Macaca fascicularis: one gene and its partner. The protein of the gene in region 1 purifies or fractionates together with the protein of each later gene. This does not show direct contact. Links are inferred from orthologs where the notes say so. Each region holds a gene or a part of one and is shown in the gene's direction. Other genes may lie near its edges.

The links.
Region 2: the proteins of SRSF3 (region 1) and LARP1 purify together in Homo sapiens (co-immunoprecipitation; 3 studies listed by BioGRID and IntAct, with this or other methods). This does not show direct contact. The link is inferred for Macaca fascicularis from reciprocal best matches to the Homo sapiens genes SRSF3 and LARP1.

Annotation. Positions count from the first base shown.
Region 1 is NC_088378.1:135,075,332-135,085,079, reverse strand, and holds the start of SRSF3 (serine/arginine-rich splicing factor 3), read left to right. Parts: upstream 1-4,247; 5' UTR 4,248-4,365; intron 4,366-6,603; 5' UTR 6,604-6,605; coding exon 6,606-6,811; intron 6,812-8,669; coding exon 8,670-8,804; intron 8,805-9,643; exon of another isoform or gene 9,644-9,748. UniProt on the Homo sapiens protein: Splicing factor, which binds the consensus motif 5'-C[ACU][AU]C[ACU][AC]C-3' within pre-mRNA and promotes specific exons inclusion during alternative splicing.
Region 2 is NC_088380.1:161,590,129-161,599,127, forward strand, and holds part of LARP1 (la-related protein 1), read left to right. Parts: intron 1-1,384; coding exon 1,385-1,777; intron 1,778-2,663; coding exon 2,664-2,787; intron 2,788-2,913; coding exon 2,914-3,119; intron 3,120-3,579; coding exon 3,580-3,686; intron 3,687-5,185; coding exon 5,186-5,337; intron 5,338-8,078; coding exon 8,079-8,223; intron 8,224-8,999. UniProt on the Homo sapiens protein: RNA-binding protein that regulates the translation of specific target mRNA species downstream of the mTORC1 complex, in function of growth signals and nutrient availability.

The DNA of each region.
Region 1 (9,748 bases):
ATTCCTACAACATAATGATTCCCATTCTGTGTCTGTACCAAAAACTCTGATATGTCTCCTTGAAGCTTCACGTATTCGAGGGTCCAGACAAGAGTAGTGGTCATATAAGTTTAAAGGAAGATTAAAATACTCCACAGGACCAGGTGTGATGGCTCACATCTGTAATCCCAGTACTTTGGGAGGCCAAGGTGGGCAGATCACTTGAAGCCAGGAGTTTGAGACCAGCCTGGCCAACATGATGAAACCCTATCTCTACTAAAAACATAAAAATCAGCCCGGCGTGGTGGTGCACACCTGTAGTCCCAGCTACTCGGGAGGTTGAGGTAGGAGAATTGCGTGAACCCGGGAGGTGGAGGTTGCAGTGAGCCAAGATCGTGCCACTGCACTCCAGCCTGGGCAACAGAGTGAGACCAAAAAAAAAAAAAAAAAAAAAACAAAGAAAAGAAAAAAAAAAAACCTCTACAGCAAGTGGACAATTTATTTGTCTGAAGTCACTAGAAGATGAAAAGCTGTGGATGGCCAGGGGAGGTTCAGAATGTTTTCGTTACTAGAGGTGGAGGGATTAAGAGAGTTCCACTGAAAGACAACACACTTGACTAGCACCACACACACAAACAAACAAACAAAAAACAGGAAAAGTGGTGGGAAAGAATGGGAAAATGAGATGGTCAAAGTTTTAAAAGGCCAGCATGTATGTATGTATGTATTTATTTATTTATTTATTTATTTATAAGACAGGGTCTCATTCGACTGCACTGGAATGCACTGGAGTGCAGTGGCACGATCTTGGCTTACTGCAGCCTCAACTTCTCGGGTTCAGGCGATTCCCCCACCTCAGCTTTCCGAGTAGCTGGACTACAGGTTCCCATCACCACGGTTAATTTTTTGTATTTTTAGTAAAGACAGGTTCTCCCCATGTTGCCTAGGCTGATCTCAAACTCTTGGTCTAAAGTGGTCCACCAGCCTAGGCCTCCCAAAGTGCTGCGATTACAGGTGTGAGCCACTGCACCCAGCCGGCCAGCAGTTTGAAAAGCAGTGATTGTGCCAGACGATTTACATACATCATTTCTCTTAATTAAATAATTTAACAGCCCAGCGCGGTGGCTCATGCCTGTAATCCCAGCACTTCCGGAGACTTGTTTGAGGTCAGGAATTAGAGACCAATCTCAGGAGTTGGATTGGTCTCAACTCAAACAACTCTCCCAAGGCAGTAGAATCGTTTGAGGCCAGGAGTTCGAGACCAACCTAGGCAACAAAGTGAGACTCCTCTATAAAAAGTCAAAAAATTAGCCAGGCACGGTGGCTAATTTTAACCTATGAGGTCCAGCCCACGAGGTCCAGGTTGTGGTGCGTGAAGTTTGCTCCAATGCCCTCCTGCCTGAGTAAGAGAGTAAGACCCTGTCTCAAAATAAATAAATAAGTAAATGAAAGAAAGAAAGGAAAAAAAAAAAAAAGCCCAGGTGCTGTGGCTCACGGCTGTAATCCCAGCACTTTGGGAGGTAGAGGATGGTGGATGGTTTTGAGCTAAGGAGTTTCAGATCAGCCTGAGCAACATGGTGAAATCCTGTCTCTACAAAAAATACAAAAATTAGCTGGGCGTTTGTGCTTGCGCCTGTGGTCCTAGTTGTTGGGGAGGCTGAGGCAGGAGAACTGCTTGAGCCTGGGAGGTGAAGGTTGCCGTGAGGCAAGAACGAACCACTGCACTCCAGCCTGGGTGACATAGCCAGACCCAAGAGTCTCAAAAATAAATAAATAAATAAAAATAAACAACTATGTATTGCTTGACTGCTGTGTCGTTTCCAAGCCCTGGGGATGCAGGTGTGACCACAATTGGCCAAAGTGACAAAACCTAACAGCTGTAACCCTGCAAGACTGGGGTTATTTTATACAGAGGAAATACAGAAGTTAAACATTCTTCTCAGGACGCTTCAGCTAGTAACTAGCAGTGGGGGCTGGGGCCAAATCCAGGACTGCCTGACTCCAGAGCCTTTGATTTGATAGAAGGAAAGAAAATGAAAAAGAGGAGAAAAGCTTACATAGAGGAGGGGAACAAATCAAGGCAAATATAAATGAGCCAGAAAAAAAAATCTAGATGAGAGAGAAATAAGAAAAGGTTTGCTAGGAACCCCTACCCCCCTTTTACAGGTGAGGAAACTAGGCTGAGATGTAATAAATCTGTATTTTTCCTTCGCTACAGATAAACCTTTAGAACCACAATAAGAGGTAAGGCTTCAAAAGAAAAATACCTGGGAAAGTTAAAACATAATAATTGGCTGGCCAGGTGTTGTGGCTGAGGCCTGTAATCCCAGCACTTTGGGAGGCCGAGGCGGGCAGATTGCTTGAGGTGGGGAGTTCGAGACCAGACTGACCAGCATGGTGAAACTCCGTCTCTACTAAAAATACAAAAATTAGCCGGGTGTGTTTACAGATGCCTGTAATCCCAGCTACTCAGGAAGCTGAGGCAGGAGAATTGCTTGAACCCGGGAAGCGGAGGTTGCAGTGAGCGGAAGTCACGCCATTGCACTCCAGCCTAGGCTACAGAGCAAGACTCTATCTCTAAAAAAACAAAAAACGGAAAAACGTAATAATTGGCATATCTTTCAGCTAAGAGGGAATAAATAAAAACACAGGTTCTTTCTCTCTCTTTTTTTTTTTTGAGACGGAGTCTCGCTCTGTCACCCAGGCTGGAGTGCAATGGAATGATCTCAACTCACTGCAACCTCTGCCTCTCGGGTTCAAACAATTCTCCTCTCTCAGCCTCCCCGGTAGCTGGGATTACAGGTGTGTGCCACCGCGCCGGACTAATTTTTGTGTTTTTAGTAGAGATGGGGTTTCACCATATTGGCCAGGCTGGTCTTGAACTCCTGACCTCAGGTGATGGGCCCGCCTTGGCCTCCCAAAGTGCTGGGATTACAGGCGTGAACCGTCACACCCAGCCTTTTTCTCATTTTTTTTTTTTTTTTTTTAGAGCAGATATAACAAGTAAATTTAGCAATACGTCAGACTAGACTGAAAGGGGTTTAGGGTGGGGGTATATTTGGGGGCAGGAGACTAGCTGAACTGTTCAGGAAATCTTGGTGATTTTTATTTTCTTCCTTTTTTTTGACACGAAGTCTCGCTCTGTGGCCCAGGCTGGAGTGCTGTGGGAGGATCTCAGCTCACAGCAACCTCCACCTCCTGGGTTCAAGTGATTCTTCTGCTCTCCTCCCAAGTAGCTGGGATTACAGGCGCCCGCCACCACGCCCGACCAATATTTGTATTTTTAGTAGAGACGGGATTTCACCATGTTGGCCAGGCTGGTTTTGAACTAATGACCATGTTGGCCAGGCTAGTTTTGAACTCTTGACCTCAAGTGATCCGCCTGCCTCGGCTTCCCAAAGTGCTGGGATTACAGGCGTGAGCCCGGCGCCCGGCCCTTGGTGATTTTTCTAAGCTTATCACAGTCTCTCTCCCCTTAGAGTTAATTATTCTTGTGGCTCTGTGTTCCTAAGGGAAGTGGTCCGGACAAAATACATGCCAGGCAGTGCAAGGGCTGCTAGGAGAAAGGCCCGAGATACCCCTCCCGGCATTCGCTTGGGGGCCCACAATTTACATTCAATCTTCTTCAGAAACTTCCTTTTCCCGGTGTTTGCTAAAGGTGATAGTTTCCAGGTCACCTGACCGGTCTCCTTTGCTGTCAGCGCCAAGTCCTGCAAGTTTGCGTGAGAGGCGAGAAACCAGCAAGAGTTGGGCAAACTTTTCAAACCAGGTTTTTCCTTCAGGGTGGAATCTAGGCGGCCACAGTCTGGTGCCAGCTGGGTCACAAACAGCTCCGTGACCTGTTTGTAAACGCGATGCTCTTAGGTCCAGCCTAACCGCTCACAAGGATGAAGCACTTAATTAATTCATCTCTTAATCTTGTTAGGAGCCAACGGCTCCGATTAGTGTTTGGGCGTGACGGGGACGGTGCTGTTTATGAAGTCCCAGCCCATTTGGAGGTTAGGAAGAGGGGTCTGTGGGTAACTTGAAGGTCGACACACTAGGAAGAACGCTCGAGGGAGCGCCAGGCCTGTTACAACGAGCGCGCGCGCCGGCGCACTTCTCCACCCACCCGGCGCAACCGCCAGAGCGCGCTCCCAGCAACCGCGGCTCTCGCTGCGTTTGTAGCCACTACGTCACGGCCTCTTCTGCTTCTCATTGGGCGAGTCCGTCCAATCATGTGATTCCAGTATGGCGTATAAATAAAGGCGAGGAGAAAGCGGTGGTCCGCCATTTCGTGGACGCCGGGTGAGCGAGAGCTTTGGTGGGTGTTGGGTCGGAGGAAAGCAGGAAGACCCATCGGAGCGTGTGGATTTGAGCCGCTGCATTTCTTAACCCTAGATCTCGGTAAGAGACCAGCGAAAGAGGGAGTGAGGTGGAAGTGGAGTTTAACCGTACCAAGGAGGAGCCAGGCCCAATGGCGGCGCCAGATTGAGACAAAGAGGCGCCGCCGCCATTTTGTGACGTTCAGCACGGGGCGGTGGCGGGGGTTCCCGGCCCATCAGAGGGTTTCCTAGTCTTGGGGTGGAGGTGTTTATATTCCTCAGTGGGTGATGAGCCAGGATAGGGGGTTACCCGGGAGTTGGGAGCCACAAAGGGGACCGATAGCCGAGTTGTATTCCAGGTCGCAGCCTTTTTATGTTTATGGCGCCTTTTTTTTGGGCCCATCATTTAATTGGGAAGCTCCTCGGAATGCTTTTGTAAAGTCACTAACCAAGACTGGACCTTCTAATTCATGTTAAATGGCCCCCGTAATCACTTTTACTTTCATGTAGTTTCAGTTTTTGCAGCCTGAATCTAATCACTTTTTTCTAAGACCGAACGATCTTCCTTGAACTTATTAAGATTCGTTCTTTCAGCCGCCTCCCATTAAAATGTAGGCTTAAGACAGATGCCAGCAGTGTTTTTAAAGATTTTCACCAGTGGTTTTATCTTAGAACTCCTGGGCACAGGGTGTGGTCACAGCAAGTAGGATGTGTCTGGACTGGATATTTTAATTAGACAAGCCCAGAGTAAGAACGTGGTGTTTATGGAAAGCACTTCAGCTAAATTATTGAGTATATGGTTTTTATGTAATTGAAACTGGTCTACAAGTTTATCAGATTCATCGCCGAAGTGACGACTAAGTAATAAAGCTTAATCAAATGTAAGTCCGCCAAGGAAAAACAAAAAAATAAGTCCCCAAAGTGCAGTGAATTTTTGAGTAGCAAATACCTCTTTGTAACTTTTTATTAAAGTAAAATTATCCCAAAGTGGTATTTAGTATAATCAGTGTTGTGTAATCATCACTTACACGTAGTTCCAAAACATTTCCGTCACCCCCCACCGCCCCCAGGAGACTCCTACCCATTGAGCCCTTACTCCCAGTTTCCCTGTCCCACTTCCTCCAGTCACTAGCCACCACTAATCTCTCTCTCTGAACTTAGCTATTTTAGATATTTAGTATTTATGGAATCGTGTATTTTTATGTCTGGCTTCTTTAGCGTAATGTTTTCAAGATTTTCCAACGTTGGAGTATTTGTCAGTACATCATTCTGAACAATACTCATTTTATGTCTATACCACATTTTGCTTATCCGTTTCTGTTGATGGACATTTGGGTTAACACCTTTTGGCTACTGTGAATAAGTGCTGCTATGAGCTTACGTTTAAAAAAAAAACTGGAAAGTTGGTCTCGTTGCTTGAGAAATTCTTACTGCATAAGACTTTGGTCTATTTAATGACATGTGATAGCAGCCTTGTTCCTATGATTTCAAATGACCAAAATAGGCATGCATTTATTTATTTTTTTGACGATGGAACCTCGCTCTGTCGCCCAGACTGGAGTACAGTGGCGCGATCTGGCTCACTGCCACCTCCGCTTCCCGGGTTCAAGCGATTGTTCTGCCTGAGCCTCCCGAGTAGCTGGGACTAAAGGTGTTTGCCACCATGCCCGGCTAATTTCTGTATTTTTAGTTGAGACGGAGTTTCACCATATTGGCTAGGCTGGTCTCGAACTCCTGACCTCGTGATCCGCCTGCCTCGGCTTCCCAAAAGTGCTGGGATTACAGGCGTGAGCCCGGTCCATGGGCTTTTTTTTTTTTTTAAATGAAAAGTTGGCTTTTTATTAAAGCTGATACGTTTTGGCTTATGTAGGCACTTTGAATCCCTTTTCTGGTAGTGTAACCTAAAGGACTAGCTTTCTTCATCATTGTTGTATTTGGTTTTGAGTCCCCAACAGAACTCTTTTATACTTTTCTAGAAATGCTTTATTTGGGGGATTAAATAAAATAACAGGTTAAGTCTTTAACTCACGGCCCAGATGATGGTAAATGCTCCTCCAGTGTTCTCACGTTCCAAGGAAGCTGTTTTTTCCTTCACTAATTGCTGGCTTCCTGAGGGTCAGGAGAGTAAAAGTTATGGGGGAACAGGTGCTTAGCAGTAACATTTCTTGTTTGTTTCTAGCATTTTGGAATTAAGTTTTTTTTTCTCTTTACATGCTACCTTAAACTCTTTTGTGCACCATAATGGAATTCTTTCTAAGGATCTGTGGTTTTAACTGTAGATGTTTAGATAAATGAATATTTTTGGTATTTTTCATTACAGAAATGCATCGTGATTCCTGTCCATTGGACTGTAAGGTTTATGTAGGCAATCTTGGAAACAATGGCAACAAGACCGAATTGGAACGGGCTTTTGGCTACTATGGACCACTCCGAAGTGTGTGGGTTGCTAGAAACCCACCCGGCTTTGCTTTTGTTGAATTTGAAGATCCCCGAGATGCAGCTGATGCGGTCCGAGAGCTAGATGGAAGGTGATTTAAATTGATACAAATGTATTGCTTGTATTTTTCATATTTAAAATGTACAGGATATGTGGCTCTTAGATCTGGCTTTCCCAATCACTGGCCAATTGTATCTTTAGATACAATTGGGATTTTTTTTTTTTTTTTTTTGAGAAGAGTCTTGCTCTGTCACCTGGGCTGGAGTGCAGTGGTACGATCTCGGCTCACCACAGCCTCCGCCTCCTGGGTTCAGGTGATTCTCCTCCCTCAGCCTCCTGAGTAACTGGGACTCTAGGCATGTGCCATTATGCGGGGCTGATTTTTGTATTTCTAGCAAAGATAGGGTTTCACCATGTTGACCAGGCAGGTCTCGAACTCCCGACCTCAGGTGGTCTGCCTGCCTGGGTCGCTCTCCCAAAGTGCTGGAATTACAGGTGTGAGCCACTCTGCCCAGCCAGGATCAAATATTTTTAAGAGTAGTTGTGAACTGATACTTGTTTAAAAAATTGTTTACAAAATGGTTACGCGGGTTTGTTGTATCTTTACTTTTATGTGTTTGAAATACTTATTCCAGAAAGTGAATCAGTTACTATCTCCCTTTGTGTTAATAGTGTCCTGTTAGCTGGCTAAGTAAGGCCTGAGTATTGACCTCCATGCCCCCACCCCGCTTTCCTCATCTTTGGAAATATAATGGAAAAAAGGGTCTGAGCGTTCACTGTAAAGCTACATGAAAGGTTGGTCAATTCAAGCAGGCCGTAGTAAAGTTTTCCAGGGCTCACCTCTTCCCAGTCACTGTCCAAATATGATAGCTTATCTAAATTTAATGACGGGTTGTATGAAGGGTGAGAAGTAATGGTCTTTTCTACTACTCTGAGCTATAATTTCTTTTTTTTAAAAAATGTATATTTAAAAAATAATACAGATGGCGGTCTGTGTTGCCCAGGCTGACTTCAAGCTCCTGGGCTCAAGCCATCCTCCTACCTCAATCTGTCTGAGCGCTGGTATTACAGGAGTGAGCCACCTCACCTGGCCACAGCTATAATTTGTTCTGTGCTGACTATTGAGGGGAGAGGGTACTGTAAAATGGCCAAAATGGTTGTCTTGTCTTGAGCCCATTTTTTACTTGGAGTTGGGCGGGGGGAGACCAATAAATACAGCCTGACAAATAACTGAAATAAGTGCTGGGACCTCAAAAGAAGTCGTCGTAATGAAGATACAGAAGAACTTGTTTTTCAAGGATAAATGGATCTTCACACTTAAATTGCAACTGTTAACAAATTAATATTGAGCTCAGTAGTCAGACTGGCTCTAACAATTAGGCAATAAAATAGAAGTTGGCTTCCTTGTGAATTGGTACTTTAGAAAATCCTATTTAATTGTTTAATTTGAAATTAATTGAAATTTTAATTTGAAACTGAGAAACAAACTTATTTTGTTTTTCAAGACAGAGTCTTGCTCTGTTGCCCAGGCTGGAGTGCAGTGGCGTGATCTTGGCTCACTGCAACCTCTGCCTACTGGGTTTGAGTGATTCTCCTGCCTCAGCCTCCTGAGTAGCTGGGATTACAGGCATGTGCCACCACACCTGGCTATTTTTTGTATTTTTAGTAGAGCCAGGGTTTCACCATGTTGGCCAGGATGGTGTCGAACTCTTGACCTAGTGATCCGCCTACCTCAGCCTCACAAAGTGTTGGGATTACAGGCGTGTACCACCATGCCCGGCCAAAGCTCACTTTATATTAGTAAAAATAAGGGAGCTAGAAATTTGGTATTAAATTTCACAGACATTCAGATGTGTTCTTTGCAGAATAGCCAACTGGGAGTACTTTTGGCTTTAATACACAAGTCAGAAAGTTAGGCTGTTTTAAGTGTAATATCTTTGCTTCCTCAGAACACTATGTGGCTGCCGTGTAAGAGTGGAACTGTCGAATGGTGAAAAAAGAAGTAGAAATCGTGGCCCACCTCCCTCTTGGGGTCGTCGCCCTCGAGATGATTATCGTAGGAGGAGTCCTCCACCTCGTCGCAGGTACTTGAGAGAAAGCTTGTTTAGAGGTATTGGTGTAATGGAGTAGCTAGTAGGAGCAGGTATTTCTCTTAAAAGTTTGTTGGTGGGTTTTAAACTTTGGAAGATTCGGAGGTTTCTATGAAACATTTGTTGGGTGTAGTTTGGGGTATGTGAGTTGTGCTGAGTGTTGGCTTTTGTCTTTAGGTCACTGTTCATGTTGGTAGTCAGTAACTTCTATCTTGGATCTGTCTTCTAGTTCATCTTTCTAGTTGCATCTTTCCAAATCTTCCCTTATACTTCAATTTAGGCCTTTTTCCATTTCTTGGCTCCATAATGACAAACATTACATTCAACTCTAGCTCTTCACAAATTTGTGTTTTCTACTACTAGCACAATTGTAATATTTATCAAACAGGCAGCTGTTTTAATGTTACAACTGGTAAAGTAGAAATCATTCTGAAACTAACTTAAGTCACTGACCAATAAAGGGGGCTAAAAAAGACGTAATCCCAGTCATCTGTTCTTCAATCCCAAATAGGAGAAAATTCAGTTTTTTTATAATTGAAAATGGCATCATTCTTGGACCAGGCAGTATTGTCTGGTTGCTAACTCCACATCTCCTCAGACCTCCAAAATAGTTTCTATAGGACTAAATTTACCTCTTACAGGTGAGTGGAGTCCTTCTAGGAGACAGGAGTTCAAAATCTTGCCCCTTTTGCTATTTTGAAAAACAACAGCACACTGTTGCCCATCATAATAAAGAGTATTTGTTAGCTAATAGATGGTTGTACTGATGGCTTGTTTTTCATTTTTTTTGTGCTTTTTGGTCCATCTATTAATAAAAATGAACCCCGTTACAGAGTCACCATCATGTCTCTTCTCACCACCCTCTGAATCTGCATTAGCCAGTCAACTAGCCCTTTCAGCGTCATGTGACCAGCGCGCCCCATTCAGCTTGGCTGGTG
Region 2 (8,999 bases), on another chromosome or scaffold:
GGCCGAGGCGGGCGGATCACAAGGTCAGGAGATCGAGACCACAGTGAAACCCCGTCTCTACTAAAAATACAAAAAATTAGCCGGGCGCGGTGGCGGGTGCCTGTAGTCCCAGCTACTCAGGAGGCTGAGGCAGGAGAATGGCGGGAACCCGGGAGGCGGAGCTTGCAGTGAGCCGAGATCGCGCCACTGCACTCCAGCCTGGGCAACAGCGTGAGACTCCGTCTCAAAAAAAAAAAAAAAAAGAATTGCCCACAGTTGCGGCTTCAGCCCTTAAAAAGTGTTGGAGATCCAGCCAGAGACATGAGGAGAAAGGTAGTAAGTAGATAAGGGTCTTACAAAGTCCAGGCCTACAAAGTTTTCTTTGAAACAGGGGTCAGGCTTAGTTCCCATTCCAGAATTAGAGCCACTACTCCGACCTGGTCTATCTTAAACCTTAAAAAAAGATAGGTTTAGATTTTTTGTAGGAAGCCCTTGGCGCAGCAGGGAATCTACTTTTGAATAAATACTGTGAGTTTAGACAAATGCTTCTCTCTCAGCATCTCATATTCAGTCTATCAAAACAAATAGTTTCTCTTTGCTGAAGGCACCTTGTTTTTTCTTGCCTTTGGAACAATGGTGTTCTTTCTGCCTAGCATACTCTGTCCCTATCTTCATCTGGCTTACTTATGTTCATCCTGTGGTAGTCACTTCTTGAAGGAGGCCTTCCCTAACCATTCTTAGTCACAGTTGACTAAGCTCCTTTCACTGTGTGCTTCCACAAACCTGCTTATAGCCTTTACCATACCACAATGCACTTGGCTGTTTGGTTGACCTTCTCCCACTGAGCTCCCTAAGTAACAGGGACCTTGTCTTATTATTCTGCTTTTAGATTTTTCATACAAAGCTTAGGACTAATGGGTGTTCCCTCATTTATTATATAATTGAACATCTGCTATTACCAGATCCCCATCTAGCTACTGAGTATATAATGGAAAGCAAGGCAACTATGGATCATGGAGCTTTCAGTTCATTGTGAGATTTTGAGTAGATGGATGAAAGGATGAATCAACCCCATGAACTACTGTGTGTCCACTCCTAGGCTAGGTGCTATGTAGGATATAAAGGTAAATGAGAGCACAGTTCCTGCCTATAGAGAATTCATCATCTAGTTGTTTGTGCATGACTGTGATATGAGCTGTGAGTGGAGGAACCTGGACTTCTATGAGACATCCTTTATCATAGTCATAAAGCTGACTCCCAGGATGACACTTGTGACCTGCTGGTGTTACCGGGTCTTGAACAGTCTCATGCTGAGGGGCTGGAGCCTCCCTCTCATGGAATAGCTACAGAATCTGGGCCAAGGACCTCCGGTGATTCCTTTTCCCCTTCGTCTGTCCTATTTTAGAAGTCAGAGGAGCCCAGATTTGCCCACCTGACTTCTCTGCCTCAGCAGCTGCCCTCCCAGCAGCTGATGTCCAAGGATCAGGATGAGCAAGAGGAACTGGATTTTCTGTTTGACGAGGAGATGGAGCAGATGGATGGGCGGAAGAACACCTTCACCGCCTGGTCTGATGAGGAATCGGACTATGAGATTGATGACAGGGATGTCAACAAGATCCTCATTGTCACCCAGACACCACATTACATGCGCCGGCACCCAGGGGGGGACCGCACAGGCAACCACACCTCGCGTGCTAAGATGAGCGCCGAGCTGGCCAAGGTCATTAATGATGGCCTCTTCTACTATGAGCAGGACCTGTGGGCTGAGAAGTTTGAACCTGAGTATTCCCAGATCAAGGTGAGGCTTGGACATAGCAGTGGGTGTGGAGCCTGGGGTGCCTGTAGTGTACAGAGAAGAGGAAGATTGATTAGCTGTGCAACTTGAGGCAGGTCTTTATAATTCAGAGTCTCAGAATTTTTATATATGGGAAGGGGATGATGACTGGTATCTAGCGTGGGCATTAGGAGTGAGGGGTGATGTTTAAACACTGCAAACTCTTCAGGTGAGGCAGGGGTGATTATTATCCTACCTGTGGATCCATAGTTAATATTATGAAAGTTGGCTAGACACTTTTGTGGGGAATAGAATAAAGGGTTAGATTGTTATTTCTAGTCTTAAATATTTAGGCGTCTAAAAATTTAGAAGCCTTTTAAGAAGCTTGTGTTGAGTATGAAAAATGGACAGGTCTTTTGAAAAATTGCTGCTGCCTGGAAACAGTCAAAACATCTTTGTTGTAGGATTTTACAGAGTAGGTATGTTTGGTGGTAGGTTGTCCTAGGATGAGCCCGTGTAACAAGTAGCAGTGCGTTTACTGGAAGTAAGGAGGAAGGAGAGTTGCCCAGCCACTGTGTGATAAGGCAGTAGCAGAAAGAGAGATGGGGAAACACTGGAGCTTTCAAGGGAGAGTCTGTAGTGAGTTCCTGTGGAACTCCTGTAAGCCTGACCTCAGTCTTACTACAGGGAGGGCAGGGCAAGTACTGTCTTTTTCTGGGCTAGCACACTTGTACCAAGGTACCTGGGGTGAGGAATGGTGACTGGGCAGCTGAGAGCCTGGGGACCAGAATTCCATGTATGTCGATGTGGGAGCTGCCCTCTCCAACTTCCTGCCAGTCTTGATTCCTTAAACAGGCTGGAACAGCTTCCTTACTTACATCTTTCTCCACCCATCTCATAACCTCTGCAGCAAGAAGTCGAGAACTTCAAAAAAGTCAATATGATCAGCCGGGAGCAGTTTGACACACTGACCCCTGAGCCCCCTGTGGATCCCAACCAGGAAGTTCCTCCTGGGCCACCTCGGTTCCAGCAAGGTGAGAAGCAGACACCTGAGATCCTGACATGGGTGAGAGGGTCTGGAGCCCTTGGACTAGGGGCTATCCAGGGGTGGATGCTACAGGCCTTTCCTTGCTTCCTGACTCCTCTCTGTGCCACTGCAGTTCCCACAGATGCCCTGGCCAACAAGTTGTTTGGTGCTCCTGAGCCCTCCACCATCGCCCGCTCTCTACCAACCACTGTCCCAGAGTCACCAAACTACCGCAACACCAGGACCCCCCGTACTCCCCGGACACCACAGCTCAAAGACTCAAGCCAGACATCACGGTTTTACCCAGTAGTGAAAGAAGGACGGACACTGGATGCCAAGGTGAGGCATTTCTGTCAGGCTGCTCAGAGTCTTGGGCCTTCTTGATTGCATTCCAGTGCTTTGCTTCTCTCCTTTGCCTTGTCTGAGCCAAGGAAGTGCCAAATCCTTTACCTGCTCTCTGTTCTGAGGCTGGTGGGCTTGCCAACCCTAGGATTAGGTGGCCACATCTGCAAAATATACTGGGTGTGGGAGTGGTGGCCCCATGTAGAAAGGCCTAAGGAGGATTGACCAGGTATGAGTCCTTGGGCAAATCACTTCATTCCCAAACCTTGATTTCTTCACCTGTTTGAAATAGGCATACCAGTTCCTAGCTCACCACTGTGAACATTATAAGAGAATGAATATGAAAATGCTATTGTAAAATGTGAGAGATCATGCCCATCTTAGTCCTACAAGTGCTTGATGCTCCTCAGAGTTGTAGGAGTGCAAATAGTAACAAACCCTGGGCTAACCTTTGCAGATGCCTCGAAAAAGAAAGACAAGACACAGTTCAAACCCACCCTTGGAGAGCCATGTGGGCTGGGTGATGGATTCCCGTGAGCACAGGCCCCGTACTGCTTCCATCAGGTACCTGGGGCAGTGGGGGAAGAGTGATCAGGCTGCCTGTGGGATGGGTGGGCAAGCATGAAATTGACTGGACCAAGAAGATTGGTCTGAAAATTAAAGGGACCCTCATTTAAGAGATTTTCAAAAAAGCAGTGGTGTGGAAAGCTCAGCCTAGGACCTGGGGACGAGGTGGAAAGCTCAGCCCAGGACCTGGGAATGAGGTGGAGGCTTTTTTCCTAAAGAAGTGGTGTGGCAGTCACATGAGACCATATTTTCATACATGCAGAGAGAAAATCTCTCTAAATTGGTTTCCAAGCCTGGATGTCTACTTTCTATCTGAGGAAGGATAGCCAGGTAGTTGAATAAACAGATTTCTGGGAGTCTCTCTGAGCCTGCTGTGTCTTGGGAGGCTACCTGAAAAGTTTTAAAAATTAAAAAAATATATATTTATTGGCCCCAACCTATATCTACTGACCCTGCTTCTTGGGGTAGGACCCATGCTCTTTATTTATTTATTTCAGTAAGATGGCCCCAGTATGTGTTTCCTGTTTCCCAAAGCAAGCTTTGAGAGCCACCTACCTATGCTGTCTACTCCCTGCAAAGATGGCACAGACTGCAAATAGGCATGCTTTTGAAGAAAATAACAATTGATCTTTGAACAACGAAGGGCCTGGGGTGCCCACCCCGCACACAGTTGAAAATCCGTGTATAACTTTTCACTCTCCAAAAGCCTGCTGTTAACCAGAAGCCTTACCAATAACATATAGTGAATTAGCACATGTTTTGCATATTATACGTATTACATACTGTATTCTTACAATAAACTGAAGAAAAAATGTTACTAAGAAAACCACAAGGGAACAACAGACACTGGGGCCTACTTGGGGGTGGGGAGAGGGAGGAGAGTGGGTGCAATTTACCTACGTAACAAACGTACACACATACCTCTGAACCTAAAATAAAAGTTAAAGTCATAGAAAATGTTTACTGTTCAGTAAGTGGAAGTGGAATCATCATAAAGGTCTTCATCCTCGTGGTCTTCACGTTGAGCAGGCTGAGAAGGAGGGGTTGGTCTTGCTGTCTCAAGAGTGGCAAAGGTGGAAGAAATCTGCGTATAAGTGGATCCATGCATTTCAAACCCATGTTGTTCAAGACTTCACTATAGATGGGTTGACCCGTGATGGCTCATTAAGGAAGGTTAAATGCTCAAAAGTTAATAAATGGTTAAAAGCTCAAGTTTTATCATTGGACACGTTTCTGCCATTAAATAGTCTTATGACCCTGGATGAGTCTCCTAATCTCTGTAAGCCTCAGTATCCTCTGTAAAACCCTCTGAGAGTTAATGCAGAGTTAATCAGTCCCATGGATATAAGTTAAAGACCTGTAACTGGGCCTCCTTGTTTGATACTCTGTGAGAGGGTGGATCTTGGCTGACAGAACGAATCAGAGGGACCCCTCCTAACCTTATGGTGGGGCTGCTGTGGGGTACCTGGTGACAGTATTTTTTGTGGTTTCTGTAGCTCCAGCCCCTCAGAAGGGACGCCTACAGTTGGCAGCTATGGCTGTACCCCTCAGTCATTGCCCAAGTTCCAACATCCTTCCCATGAACTGCTCAAGGAAAATGGCTTCACACAACACGTCTACCATAAGTATCGTAGGCGCTGCCTTAATGGTAAGAAGTGAGGGGGGCAGGGGACGATCCTCTGGGCCCCTTATTTAGACCCAGAGTGTAAGGGTTGGGGGATATGGGGATAGGTGACTTTTTTCTCTGACTTCAGAGCAAAAAAAGATGTGACATTATAGCGAGAAGGACTGAAGTTAGACTTGGGCCAGGTAGTTTTAAGCTGTAGGAAGCTAAGGGAATATGGCACTCACAACATTTGTGTTCCTTGATCTTCCTCTATTATTAAAACTGTCGGCCGGGCGCGGTGGCTCAAGCCTGTAATCCCAGCACTTTGGGAGACCGAGACGGGCAGATCACGAGGTCAGGAGATCGAGACCATCCTGGCCAACACAGTGAAACCCCGTCTCTACTAAAAAAATACAAAAAACTAGCCGGGCGAGGTGGCGGGCGCCTGTAGTCCCAGCTACTCGGGAGGCTGAGGCAGGAGAATGGCGGGAACCCGGGAGGCGGAGCTTGCAGTGAGCTGAGACCCGGCCACAGCACTCCAGCCTGGGCGACAGAGCGAGACTCCATCTCAAAAAAAAAAAAACAAACAAAAAAAACTGTCAATTAAGTATTTCTGTATCTCTGACAAGACTACTGACTCAGCCATTGTCAGGTCTAGTCCACTGTCCATCACAAAAGGGTATGTAAGAGGTGGCATATGCTCTCTAGAACAAAGGTTGCCAAATTGTAGTTTGTGAGTCAAATCCAGCCAGTAGTCTGTTTTCATATGGCTTTGGAGCTAAGGACAGTTTTTACATTTTTAAGGGGTTGTAAGAAAAAAAGATTTGTGACAGAGACTATATGTCATCTATAAAGCCTGAAATATTTGTTCTCTGTCCCTTTACAGAAGTAGTTTGCTGATCCCCCCTGCAGATGATAGTGTAAGGAAAGAGCCTGTCTAGATGCTCTTGTCTGTCCCCCCTCTTTTAGCATTCTGATTGGTTTTGTGCATCTTTACAGCCAACCTATCTTGTCACCTGTAGTTACTACTCATTCATCTCCTTTCATTCAACAAAACATGGCTGCTAAATTCTTGATTCATCCACTTCACTTCTCTCTTTCCTACTTTGTGTGTAATAACAGCTTTATTGTGATATAATTTACATATGATGCAACATACCTAAAGTATGCAATGTAATAGCTCTAAGTATATTCATATAGTTGTGTGCCCATCACCAGAATCAATTTTAGAACATTTTCATTACCCCCCAAAATGCTATGTCCCTTACCACTCATACTCATTATACATGCAAACTACTCCCCACCCCCAAAATCCTACCAGTCCTATGAAACTACTAATCTACTTTCTGCCTCTAAGGATTTGCCTATTCTGGACACTTCACATAAATTATACTGTATGTAGTCCTTTGTTACTGGCTTCTTCCCCTTAGTATATTTGGTATACTGACAAATACACAGCAAGGTTCATGTCATAGCATGCAGCAGTACTTTATTCTTTTTATTGCCAAATTGTATTCCATCATATGGATGTATCACATTTTGTGTATCCATTCATCAGTTGTTTGGCATTTGGGTTGTTTCTACTTTTTGTCTGTTGTGAATAATGCTACTGGGCATATTCACATACGGGTTTCCCGTAGACATAGCTTCTCCTTTATTTTGGATGAAAGAGTATTATTTCTGGGTCATGGGGTAACCATGTTTAACCCTTTGACAAAATTAAACACTGTTTTCCAAAGTGGAAATTTTGGAATTTTATATTGAAATATAAATTTTTATATTGAAACATAAAATTTTCATTTTATATTTCTAAAAGCAGTATGTGAGGCTTCTGGTTTTTCACATCCTTCCAACACTTGTTATTGTTTGTCTATTTTTATTTACTTTTATTAATATTTATTTTTGAGACAGGATTTTGCTCTGTCACCCAGGCTGGAATGCAGTGACTCAATTATAGTTCACTGCAGTCTCGAATTACTGGACTCAAGCAATCCTCCTGCCTCAGCCTCCTGAGTAGCTGGGACTACAGGCATGTGCTACCATACCTATCTAATTACTGAAAGTTTTCTGTAGAGACAGCGGTCTCACTATGTTGACCACGGTGGTCTTGAACTCCTGGCCTTACGCAGTCCTCCCTCCTCAGCCTCACAAAGTGCTGGAATTACAGACGTGAGCAACCTTGCCCAGCCAAGATCCTTTTTTAACTGGATTGTTTTCCTAATTATTAAGTTGTAGGAATTCCTTTATCAGATACATAATTTGCAAATATTTTCTCTGATTCTATGGGTTATCTTTTCACTTTTTTGATGCGCAAAAATTTTTCATTTTAATGATACTTATTTTCTGTTTTGTTGCTCGTGCTTTTGGTGTTGTGTATTTTTTGATATTACTGTTATGTACTTGTGAATATTGTAGGACTCTTTAGGTAAATATTGGTAATGAGCCAAATACAGTTAGAATTTCCAGACAATTTGTTCATGCCTTGTCTTGTCTCGATGGCACTTGAAAGCAGTACCAGTTGAGGTGAAGAGCTAGACTGCCAGCCTGGTTCAGAAGCTGCTGCCACCTGCTTCTGGAAAAGTACAGGCCCAGCTCCCAGCATCAGGGCCTGTTGCAGAGTGGTTAGTGCTCAATAAACATCTGCTGAATGACTGAGTGGCAGATGATGAGTGAGGGAATTTGGAGGTACAAGAGAAAGGACCAAGTCTTAAGTTCCAGAATCCTTTGTCCCTGAAGCAAGGACAGCCTGAACCTGAGACATGTCTTTCCTCCTTTCCCATCAGAGCGGAAACGCTTGGGCATTGGCCAGTCTCAGGAGATGAACACACTCTTCCGCTTCTGGTCCTTCTTCCTCCGAGATCACTTCAACAAAAAGATGTATGAGGAGTTCAAGCAGCTGGCTCTGGAGGACGCCAAAGAAGGCTACAGGTGAGCAGGTTTGGGGTGGGGGACTTTGGCTGGTGCTTAGGGATGGTATGGGATCCCTAGTTGGTCTGCTTCCAGAACTGTAGTTGGAAATTCCTTGCATGTGTATTTTCATTCATGTACTTGATGAAAAGTTTGTTTTTAAATGAGCAGTATATTCACATGGTTCAAATTTCAAACAGTTTAAAAGGTTATGTAATGAAGAGTCATCTCATCCCTGTCGCCCACCCATCTGGTGTCTTTACCCACAGGCAACCAGTATTAGAATCTTGTGGGTCCTTTATAAAGGACCCTGTGTAAGTAAGTAGGTATTTGTGTAATCTTCCATGCCACTACCACTCCTTTTGTTTACATAAAAGCTGGCCTATGTTATAATATTTTCTGCACCTTGCATTTGTTTTTGTTTAATACTATATTTTGGAGATCATTCTATATCTGTACATAATTAACTTTTCTTGTTCTTTTTTTATAGGCTGTAACATGGTCTTATACTATATGGATGTACCATGATTTATTTAGTCAGTCTGCTATTAATAGATACTTAGGTTGTTTCCAATATTTTGCTATTAAAAAAATCTTAAGAGTCCTTTTTTCCTGGCTGGGTGGCTCATGCCTATAATCCCTGCGCTTTGGGAGGCCAAGGCAGAAGGATCACTTGAGCCCAGCCTGGGCTCAAGTGGTCGTTCTGCCATAGCAAGACCCTGTATCTGTTAAATTAAAAAAAAAAAAAAAAAAGACCTCCCCATGCCCCCACCCCTTCCCTGATTTTCAATGTAAAA